Saccharomyces cerevisiae S288C: one gene and its partners. Changing the gene in region 1 together with any one later gene gives a genetic interaction. Each region holds a gene or a part of one and is shown on either strand. Other genes may lie near its edges.

Region 1 (4,500 bases):
GTTGGAGACCTTAACACTATTTGGACCTGAGACGTAGTGAGTTAGCGTGGCTAGATCGATGATCAGTTTCTTGGCATAATGTGCATCCTTGTCTGCTTTCGGAATCTTCGCCTTTTCTTCTAGTGCGCGGATAGTCTTTGGATTAATCCTTGGATGATTATTGGTGCCCAGCTTTTGCAAACGGTTTTTATACCAGTCGATCAAAGTTTTGTCCACGGGGAACAAACCAGAAAGAGCCCCCCACTCGGTGGTCATGTTAGCAATAGTGAGTCTGTGATCGATAGGCAATGCATTCAAAGAGTCACCCGTGAATTCAATGGCGTGATTTAGAACTTGATCATTGTTGAAAAGCCCACATAATGCGACAATGATATCTTTTCCGGAAACACCCTGAGGCAATTGACCTTTCAACTCAACCTGAGCCACTGGTGGGATCTGCCACCACGTCTGTCCCGTGGCCCATATGGCTGCAGCGTCTGTTCTCACTATTGGAGTGCCCAGCGACCCCAGACCACCGTAGGTGTTTGAATGCGAGTCAGATGCGACAGTCATGTTCAAGGGGAAAGCATAGCCCTCCTCAATCATAATTTGATGACCAATACCTCTACCGGCAGGGTAGTGGTCTATATGGTGTTTCTTAGCAAAATTTTCGATGTTCTTGTACTTGGTCAAATTTTTCTCTGATTTGTTCTGAATATCGTGGTCCAGAGTGGTCACAATCTGTGAAGGATTCTTGATCTTGGTAGCGCCAAGCCCCATGAATTTCAAAGCTACAGGCCACGAATTATCGTGGGACATACAGTGTGCCGGCTTGATCGATACATAGTCACCAGAATGCACAACTTTACCCTCGGGAAGGTTGACCGCATACGACTGAACAATTTTTTCAGTTAGGTTCTGACCTTTCAACCAGGCCCTAGAACTGTGGAACGAACGAGTAAATGTGGTTGATCGTAGCATCTTGAAGCGATACAATTTTGTTTCCTTGCAAGTTCTATTTTATTGAAAAAGTGATATTGTCTACTATAAGAGGCAGCGCAAAACTAGCTATTGCACACACAAACACACGAGGATTCTTTTGTATATATAAATACCTATGGGGATATATATATATATATATATATGTGCGTGTCTGTACGTGTGTGTGGACATGAGATTGTGTATACCTGTGTATGTTGGTGATATTTGCTGCCTCTGGTATAGACTCATCGATTACAAAATTTCAGTCATCTCGAGCAAAATCCCGGGGGAAAAAACAATAAAAATTTTTTTTTTCCAAATCGCTCCATTCTGCTCACTTGACACGAAATTGTTTATCACTTGATACGTGTACATTTTACCGGGTTTGCGGTAATTTCGCACGAACAAGCAGTGAAAAAAGTCATAGGAAAATTTTTCACCGTAGCAGCCAACGCAGTTGCGTTTTTTCCAGTTTTTCCAACACCAGAGGACAGCTTTGGCTATTCTTTTCGGTGTTTGGTGCTGTTGTATCGCTGGCTTGTGGTATCTTCTGTTTCCTATTTAAAGTTGGTCAGTGCCCCCTTTCCAGTGGGCTTCTCCCCTGTGTGGGCTGTTTCTCTTCTATGGCACTTCAACTTCGCATTTTTCAAATTTTTATTCAACAATTCCCTTTTCTTGATCTCTTTCTTTTCAACTCTCAAGCCAAATATTTAATTGTTTCTTCCTACCCGCAAGCGTATATATATATAATATATATTCACACACGCAAATATGTCCGCCTCAGCTCAACATAGCCAAGCCCAACAACAACAACAACAAAAAAGCTGTAATTGCGATTTGCTATTATGGAGGAACCCTGTTCAAACCGGTAAATATTTCGGTGGGTCTCTGTTAGCCTTGTTAATTTTGAAAAAAGTTAACTTGATCACTTTCTTTTTGAAGGTTGCCTACACTATCTTATTCACAACAGGATCTATTGAATTCGTATCCAAGCTCTTTTTGGGACAAGGTTTAATCACCAAGTATGGTCCTAAAGAATGTCCAAATATCGCCGGCTTTATTAAGCCTCATATCGATGAAGCTTTGAAACAGCTACCAGTCTTCCAAGCCCACATAAGAAAGACTGTATTCGCTCAAGTCCCTAAGCACACTTTCAAGACCGCTGTTGCCTTATTTCTACTACACAAATTCTTCTCCTGGTTCTCTATCTGGACCATCGTCTTTGTTGCTGACATTTTTACCTTCACTTTGCCAGTTATCTACCATTCCTACAAGCATGAAATTGATGCTACTGTCGCTCAAGGTGTAGAAATTTCTAAGCAAAAGACCCAAGAGTTTTCTCAAATGGCTTGCGAAAAGACAAAACCATACTTGGACAAGGTTGAATCTAAATTGGGCCCAATTTCCAACTTGGTCAAATCTAAGACTGCTCCTGTGTCTTCTACTGCCGGTCCTCAAACCGCCAGCACTTCTAAGTTGGCCGCTGATGTTCCATTGGAACCAGAGTCTAAGGCTTACACATCTTCAGCTCAAGTTATGCCAGAAGTTCCACAACACGAACCTTCCACTACCCAAGAATTTAACGTCGATGAATTGTCTAATGAATTGAAGAAAAGTACAAAAAACTTGCAAAATGAATTGGAAAAAAACAACGCTTGAGTGCTTTTTTTTTTTCATTTCAAACAAGAATAGCTAACTTTTGTCTCTTTATTTACCACTACATATTACATTAGCCTATATATACTCATACGTTTCTCTCTCTTTACTTTCTGTACCCCCGAGGAAAAATACATAAATTATTTTTGAACTTTCCCTGCTTTTTTACCAACATTGCTACAGTTTAACCATTGCAGTTAAAAGTGCTCATCGTGTTAGTTAAATAAATAAATAATTAAGAGAAATAATAATAAAGTATCATACATAAATAAGAATAAAAAAAAAAAATGAAAAAAAAAAACTGTTAATTTTTTTTTTTACTGATTTACAAATTCCTTGTACCTCTATCTCAGCCCATGCATATATTGGTTGTTTTACTGCTTGATACCACTAGAAACCTCTAGTTGTTTAACGATGGGGTCTCTAACATTAGGGTTCAAGTCGTCATTAGTTAAAGATAGTTGGCTTGATGTCCATAAGTTAGACTCTTCCACAAATCCGCTCTCTCCAACACCCAATAAGCCACCTTGGCTTTCCCAGTCTCTGACACGTGGTAACTGTAGCTCATTGAACACATCATCAACTGCATTGATTAAGATGTCAGATAAATCGTTGGTGTGACCTGGCGTTGGGGTAATTCTCAATCTTTCGGTACCGCGAGCAACCGTAGGGAAGTTGATAGCTTGTACGTAGATTTGATGCTTATTGATTAAGATGTCAGAAGCTTGCTTAGCCAAATCAGCATTACCAATCAACACTGGGACGATATGAGAAGGATTTGGAATAACTGGAATGCCCAACTCATGGAAAGCTTTCTTTACGTACATGGTATGTTTCTGTTGCGAGGTTCTTAGGTCGATGTGGCAACGTTGGTATCTAATTGCTGCGGTAGCGCCTGCCATAACTGAAGGTGGTAAAGTCGTGGTGAAAATGAAACCAGGTGCAAACGATCTGAACCAATCGATCAATTTCCTAGAGGCTGCGACGTAGCCACCTACGCTACCGAAAGACTTACCTAAAGTGCCGGTGATCATGTCGACACGGTCCATCACAGTCTTCGCGCCGCCCTTGTCATTGGTCTTTGGGGTAGCAATACCACTTGCACGGTGACTTTCAAAATCACAATGTTCTGCAACACCTGCACCGTGAGGGCCGTACAGGCCGACCGCATGTACTTCATCCAAGAAGGTCAAAGCACCGTATTTGTCGGCCAAGTCGCAAATTTTTTCTATGTCGGCCACTGAACCGGCCATAGAATATACTGATTCGAAAGCAATTAGTTTAGGAACGGATTTGGGGTATGACTGGAGCAGTTGTTCCAATTCGTTCAAGTCATTATGTTTGAAAATGTGTTTTTTTACGTTAGCATGCTTAATACCGACAATCATGGACGCATGGTTGAGTTCGTCGGAGAAAATCACCAAGTCCTTCATCTTTTGACCCAGTAGGGATAAGACGGCATCGTTGGCTACGTAACATGACGAAAAAACTAAGGCACCTTCCTTCTTGTGTAAAGTGGCCAATTCGGCTTCCAGATTCAAAGTGGGGATGTTATGGCCAGCAATGTTTCTTGTACCACCGGCACCACAACCATACTTGTCGATAGTTTTATGCATGGCGTCCAATACCTCAGGGTGCTTGGAAAGTGCTAAATAGTCGTTGGAACACCAAACGGTGACCTTGTCCGCCTCTCTCTGGCGATGAGCTAGGGGGAACTCCTTGGCCAATCGGTTGATATTGTTGAAATATCTGTACGATTTGTCAAGTCTTTTCTTCTGCAGTTCGGAATCTATCAGGCCTTCGTAATCGAAACCCGACTCCTGGGTGGAATGGTTGGCAGCAGCGGCTGCTGCTGCTGCTGCATGTGTTGATGACGCTGTGGCA
Region 2 (3,544 bases), on another chromosome or scaffold:
CAATTCCACCGAATCAAGGTTGACTTGGTTATCTATATTGATTATCATTATCATTGCCGTTATAAGTATTGCCCAAGTTCTACTTATTCAATTCCTCTTCACTGGTCGTCAAAAAAATTACGTTTAAGAACTTTTCAATCTACGAAAAATATATGTCCGCAATATAGAACACAATTAGGTTTATATTCGACGTGATTTTTTTTTCTTCCTTAGCCCTATGTATATTTACTGTATAGGATAAATGAAATACCAAAAATAAAAAAGTATAAAACGAAAGAATATAACCCTCGTTTATATCTGGTCATTTGTCTTGCTCATTTGTTAGCATTTAAACTTGCTAATACGAAACTCAATGTAAAGAATACTTTAAAACCCATGTATTCTGTACCCAATAACCCATCAATAAGCAGTTTCTTCAAGTCTACATCTTTCAAAACAATTACAGATTTGATATTTTTCAAATTAATGCGAATCCATCCCTTGTACCGTAACCATTCACAAAGAAGCATGCTTGTAATACCGACATACATAAACAAAATTGATATCTTAGCCACCGTAACTCCTAAAACAACACCGAATAATGATCCCAAAAACATCTGCTTGTGACTACTTATTTTGTTCCTCCTTTCCTCGGTAATTGCCGTACTGTTGCCCACAGTTGGTTCCAAGGGACCCTGTTGTTTGACAGCTGCCCCTAAAGAATCATTGAATATCAACTTAGAAGGCTGGCGATTCATCAAGTAAAAGCCACCAGCAACTATGCCAGCACCGCCTAACCCTACAGAGCGAGTTAAGGGCTTTCCTAATTTATTGGCGACATTAAACCTCCATAAGGGGACGTTCTTGAACATGCGCTTCCCAACATTCAAATTACGAAACACCAACCGTTGCATATTAAAAGCCAAAGTCATTTTACACCTATTATTTTAAGTTCTTCCTTCTTGCCCCTCTAGCGTTATGCTGTTGTATGTATAATAAGATGCCTTGTTTAACCAATTTCAACAACCCCTAGGTTTTCTAGCACTTGTTGGAAAACTTAAATATGAAATGACGGATTTGTAAAATTTTCACGACACAACAGCTTCACTTCTAATAATGTATAAAATATAATTTATGTGTGAACATAGATGGTTACAATTTTACATAGGTAAATATGACCTCTTATTCGAAGGAAGAAGCCCTCCAACTCTTTCATTCTGATTTAGGTCGGAGTTCGTGCGCTTGTTTGCGTCTTCTAGCACCTTCCCTGGCCCAAAACTCGTCTCTATAAATCTCCCATCCTTCTCTAATCTCTGCACTAAATGCTCTGGGGTTGAGGACTAATTTCACATCCACAGCTCCGATCCTCGGTTGGGATTGTATCGTGACACTTTTCCAAAATTTCACAATGGCATTATCGTCTTTAAGCCACAGAAATTTTTTCAAACAATAAATATTACAATAAGCAATTGTTCGACTCACAAATCTTACTGAATCTGTGTATTTCTCGTCCCACGTAGACTGTACTTTAACTAGCTTCACATTAAACTGCCTAATCCCTTTATTAGTAGAGGTAAAAAATCTTCTTGGAATGACGATAGTTCTTCTATATTGTCCACTGATATGAAAAAGAACTACAGTAATGGAAATGAAAGAAAGAGTGAATTGCAAAATAACCCTATGGAGGCCCTTGACATAATCTGAAGTGAAATAAAGTTCGTAGAAGGTAAATGCGCCTACACCGGCCATAGACGCTAAGAACAAAGTGAATTGCCACTTCAGTATCTTTTGTTCGTGAGCTTGGCGTCTTAAATCATCCTCCAGTATCAACAAATTCCTGAAAATCATCGATGCTGGAGAGATATTACTGGAGTTCCGTATATTCTTCGCACTGGATGTCTTGCTAGTAGAACGCCTGCGAGGCCCGGACACTATACTGGCACTATCATCCTGGGCATGGTTCCCCACATCGCCTATGCTCTCTGGCTCCATGACCTCCTTTATTTAGCTTTCCACTACCTTTCTTCCTTTGTGTGTATAATCAATAGATTTTCGCTAAATTTCGCATCTTCCCTTTTAAGAATAATTAGTATTTAATTTTACTTTGACTTTATTGTTGAGTGAAGAAACAAAGCAAATATACGTTAGGAAAAAGACACGAACAGAGAAGACCGATCTTGATGCTACCCTATATGGACCAAGTACTAAGGGCATTTTATCAGAGCACCCATTGGAGTACGCAAAATAGCTACGAGGATATAACGGCCACATCGAGAACATTATTAGATTTCCGAATTCCCTCAGCAATACACCTGCAAATTTCCAACAAATCTACTCCCAATACATTCAATTCTTTAGATTTTTCTACGAGGTCCAGGATAAATGGTTCTCTGAGTTATTTATACTCCGATGCACAGCAATTGGAGAAATTCATGCGCAACTCTACTGATATCCCATTACAAGATGCCACCGAAACATACAGACAATTGCAACCAAACCTCAATTTCAGTGTTAGTAGTGCGAATACGTTGAGTAGTGACAACACCACAGTCGACAATGACAAGAAATTACTACATGACTCGAAATTTGTTAAAAAATCCCTTTATTATGGTAGAATGTACTACCCCAGCTCTGATTTAGAAGCAATGATAATAAAACGACTAAGTCCACAAACCCAATTTATGCTTAAGGGTGTCAGTAGTTTCAAAGAAAGCTTAAACGTTTTAACGTGCTATTTTCAAAGAGATTCTCACCGCAATTTACAGGAGTGGATATTTTCCACCAGTGATCTATTATGTGGTTATAGAGTATTACACAATTTCCTTACCACGCCTTCCAAGTTTAACACCTCACTGTACAATAATTCTTCGTTGTCGCTTGGTGCTGAATTTTGGTTAGGGTTAGTAAGTTTAAGCCCCGGTTGTTCGACAACTTTAAGATATTACACACATTCTACAAACACAGGACGACCACTAACTTTGACATTATCTTGGAATCCATTATTCGGCCATATATCCTCCACATATTCGGCCAAGACAGGGACAAATTCTACTTTTTGCGCGAAGTATGATTTTAATCTTTATTCGATTGAATCAAATCTTTCATTTGGGTGCGAATTTTGGCAAAAAAAGCATCATTTGCTTGAAACCAATAAAAACAATAATGATAAATTAGAACCAATCTCCGACGAATTGGTTGATATAAATCCAAACAGCAGAGCGACTAAACTACTGCACGAAAATGTACCGGATCTGAATTCAGCTGTTAACGATATTCCTTCTACACTAGATATACCTGTTCACAAACAAAAGCTATTAAATGATTTAACTTATGCATTCTCGTCGTCATTAAGAAAAATCGATGAAGAAAGATCTACCATCGAAAAATTTGATAACAAAATAAATAGTTCCATTTTTACCAGTGTTTGGAAATTAAGCACGTCATTACGTGACAAGACTTTAAAACTATTATGGGAAGGCAAATGGAGGGGATTTTTAATATCTGCCGGGACAGAGCTGGTATTCACTAGAGGCTTTCAAGAAAGTTTATCCGATGATGAAAAGAA
Region 3 (3,253 bases), on another chromosome or scaffold:
TGACTATTTGCGTGTTCATTTAAAGAAAAACCTCAGTATGGATAGAGACACTAAATTAGCTTTTAGGCTGAGGGGCAGTCATTCAAGAAGGACAGACGATATAGATGATGATGTTATTGTATTTAAGACGCCAAATGCTGTTTATAGAGAGGAGAACTCACCTATTCAATCTCCTGTTCAACCCATTTTGTCTTCACCAAAACTTGCGAATTCTTTCGAGTTTCCTATTACCACTAATAACGTAAATGCGCAGGACCGTCATGAACATGGGTATCAGCCCTTGGATGCAGAAGACTATCCCATGATCGACTCTGAAAATAAAAGTCTTATAAGCGAATCGCCGCAAAATGTTAGAAATGATGAAGACCTTACTACTCGTTACAATTTCGATGATATACCCATTAGACAGCTATCATCGTCTATCACTTCTGTGACCACAATTGATGTTTTATCTTCTTTATTCATAAACTTATTTGAAAATGATTTGATTCCGCAAGCTTTGAAGGATTTCAATAAAAGTGATGATGATCAATTTAGGAAACTATTGTACAAATTAGATCTGCGACTCTTTCAAACGATATCAGACCAAATGACCAGAGACTTGAAAGACATATTAGATATCAACGTGTCGAATAATGAGCTCTGCTACCAACTGAAGCAGGTACTTGCTCGAAAAGAAGATTTGAACCAGCAGATAATATCGGTACGAAATGAAATTCAAGAGTTGAAAGCCGGTAAAGACTGGCATGACTTACAAAATGAACAAGCCAAACTGAACGACAAAGTGAAGCTAAATAAGAGGCTAAATGATTTGACTTCTACTTTGCTAGGCAAATACGAGGGAGATCGCAAAATTATGAGCCAAGATAGCGAGGACGATTCAATACGGGATGACTCAAATATTCTGGATATTGCACATTTCGTAGACTTGATGGATCCATATAACGGACTTCTGAAAAAGATAAATAAAATTAATGAAAATCTTTCTAACGAATTACAACCAAGTCTATAGGGAATTGGTTCAAAAGATGTATATATATATATATATATATATATATGTATGTATATATGTATATATGTATATATGTATTACTTCCATACTAAGGAAGTTGTGTTATAAGGTCATTTTTATGTGGTAGACATACTTCATAGATATGCACAAATCTCTCTTTTTTTTTCCTGTTGTCGCTATTAGCTTATCAAATTTGCATCATTTTCAAGTAACGCTGTGACCATTCTGTAGAAGTAGAAAAAGAATATGAGAAGGTAAAATCCCAATTTTAAAAAGCATTCAATTTTGCATCTACCCAATTTTCTGAAAATATCCGTGGCGTCCAGTAGATGTGTTTTCTTGTAGACTTTACTTGCGTTATATGCTAGAACAGGGACATTCAAGAGAAATACGAACCAGTACCCGTTAAAAAGAAACAATGCAGAAATGAAAGCTTGTAGAATTGCCTCTGGTACACTCAACCTATTCACCCTCTTACACAGTTCGATTGAGTTGATATAGTCTGCTTCAAGATCACCATATAATATAGTAAAGTATATCTGGCAAATGGAATTCAAACAATTCAGTATAAGACCCGTCACGAATAGCGATAATCCGGTTCCTGACATCTTTACTCTTGGCTTCGAACTTCTTGGTGCCTGCAGTTAGTTTTATCTTTAGTAAAAAATGATAATGAAAGTGCTTATATGAATAAAGGTATTAATGTCTTCGTATTTAGCAATGTAATTGAAAAATCATTCGTGGCCCACGACAATATTTCCAAATTATCACAGCTTTCGATAGAAGTGAACGATTTTGAATTAGAGAGAGTAGTAGTGAGCTAGACGTACTGTGTTTTGAGAATTGAAGTTTGTATAGCAAAACTATACTATCATAATGCAACATTCAAGAAAAATAATGGTATAGAAACAAAAAATAACTCCGATACGGGGAGTCGAACCCCGGTCTCCACGGTGAAAGCGTGATGTGATAGCCGTTACACTATATCGGATAATAACTTATGTTTGATTTAACCTTAAAGATTTTCTATGTCAAGTTTAAACTGGAGGGCTTTCTATTGCCGAACAATCCTAGCTAAAGGCTTTTTTCCCTATTTACAGAAGAAAATGTAATGACTGAAGATTTTGAAAGGTCTCGTTTGATGGCTAGCAGGCTACACCTAGAATTACCCAATTCCAAAGGTTGGTCATCATAGGAAAACAACCAGCATGAACCTTACCCTAGTTCTCTTGCTACTATTTCACATCATCAGGTGATGTCAACTCAGCTTATTGTCAGTGACGACGGATTAGCATTGATACCTGATGTCATTTTAACACGTGTGTTGGATGGGATCCTATACACACCCAAAGAAGATGATTTTTACAACGACACCACCACCATGTATTATGTTTTTGCCACCTGGGGTGATCAAAGTTGGTCATCCTTCGGTTATGATAATACAGCAAGCCTGCAAGAGCACGAAAGATATGTTTTCTAACTTCTTGCCGAGCAGGGAATATTGGGGATTTGGACCGTTGGAATAAATGGGTCCTCAATATTGACAGGAGTCGGTTTTGGAATGAGAATTAACTATCATTTAGTGATGGTAATCCTATTACTAGAATATTATCAGATACAATGTTAGAGGACAATAGGAATACATAAAATAGAAGAAATAATGATGGCATTACATCGAAATATCGATTACACTATATCTTGGAGGAGAACTTTTTATTTTATTTTGTATATCTGATGCTATAGCCTCTAACAATAAGTTAATCCCAACAACTATCTCAATATTCATATAATCGTCTGAGAGATTGATAACAGCTAGTAATGTAGCTAACAGTCAAAAGATAATAAATGATTCATCTTCCAACAGCTTGCGGGGAAAGTTTTTCACACTAATGTGCGGTGTTGTTTTCCTTAACAGGCTCTGAGCAAAATATGGAGAGAGAGGTCTCATTTACTTTGCCATTCTTCATTTAAGCTTGAGGCTTGTTCTACTGAAATGTTAAGTTCTCAGAAGCCAACTTTGGATCAAAGGGCTTTGTTAGTAGCAAAACGCTATTTCTATTGATTTTGATTATTTTTCGAAACATTAAGAGCACAATGTATATTAATTTTCCCTGATGAATAGTTAAGATGATTAGATGGGCTAGGCGCTTAAAAATGAGAAACAGGTGAAATTTGAGATAAATGTTGATTTCGTTGTTGCTAAAGGCTATAATATCAGGTATACAAAATATACTGGAAATA

Evidence for each region. A genetic interaction does not mean that the proteins touch.
Region 2: mutations in RTN1 (region 1) and SPO7 are lethal when combined (synthetic lethality), as found in Saccharomyces cerevisiae (2 studies listed by BioGRID, with this or other methods).
Region 3: mutations in RTN1 (region 1) and ERV15 together harm fitness more than expected from each alone (negative genetic interaction), as found in Saccharomyces cerevisiae (2 studies listed by BioGRID).

Annotation. Positions count from the first base shown.
Region 1 is NC_001136.10:927,589-932,088, reverse strand, and holds RTN1 (Rtn1p), read left to right. Parts: upstream 1-1,731; coding exon 1,732-2,619; downstream 2,620-4,500. Other genes in the region: homoaconitate hydratase LYS4, read right to left, coding at 1-960; HEM1 (5-aminolevulinate synthase), read right to left, coding at 2,991-4,500.
Region 2 is NC_001133.9:134,281-137,824, reverse strand, and holds SPO7 (Nem1-Spo7 phosphatase regulatory subunit SPO7), read right to left. Parts: upstream 1,972-3,544; coding exon 1,192-1,971; downstream 1-1,191. Other genes in the region: ERP2 (Erp2p), read left to right, coding at 1-127; FUN14 (Fun14p), read right to left, coding at 315-911; MDM10 (Mdm10p), read left to right, coding at 2,160-3,544. UniProt on the Saccharomyces cerevisiae protein: Regulatory component of the NEM1-SPO7 complex which acts as a phosphatase and dephosphorylates the phosphatidic acid phosphohydrolase PAH1. Essential for the formation of a spherical nucleus and meiotic division.
Region 3 is NC_001134.8:643,917-647,169, reverse strand, and holds ERV15 (Erv15p), read right to left. Parts: upstream 1,621-3,253; coding exon 1,192-1,620; downstream 1-1,191. Other genes in the region: AME1 (Ame1p), read left to right, coding at 38-1,012.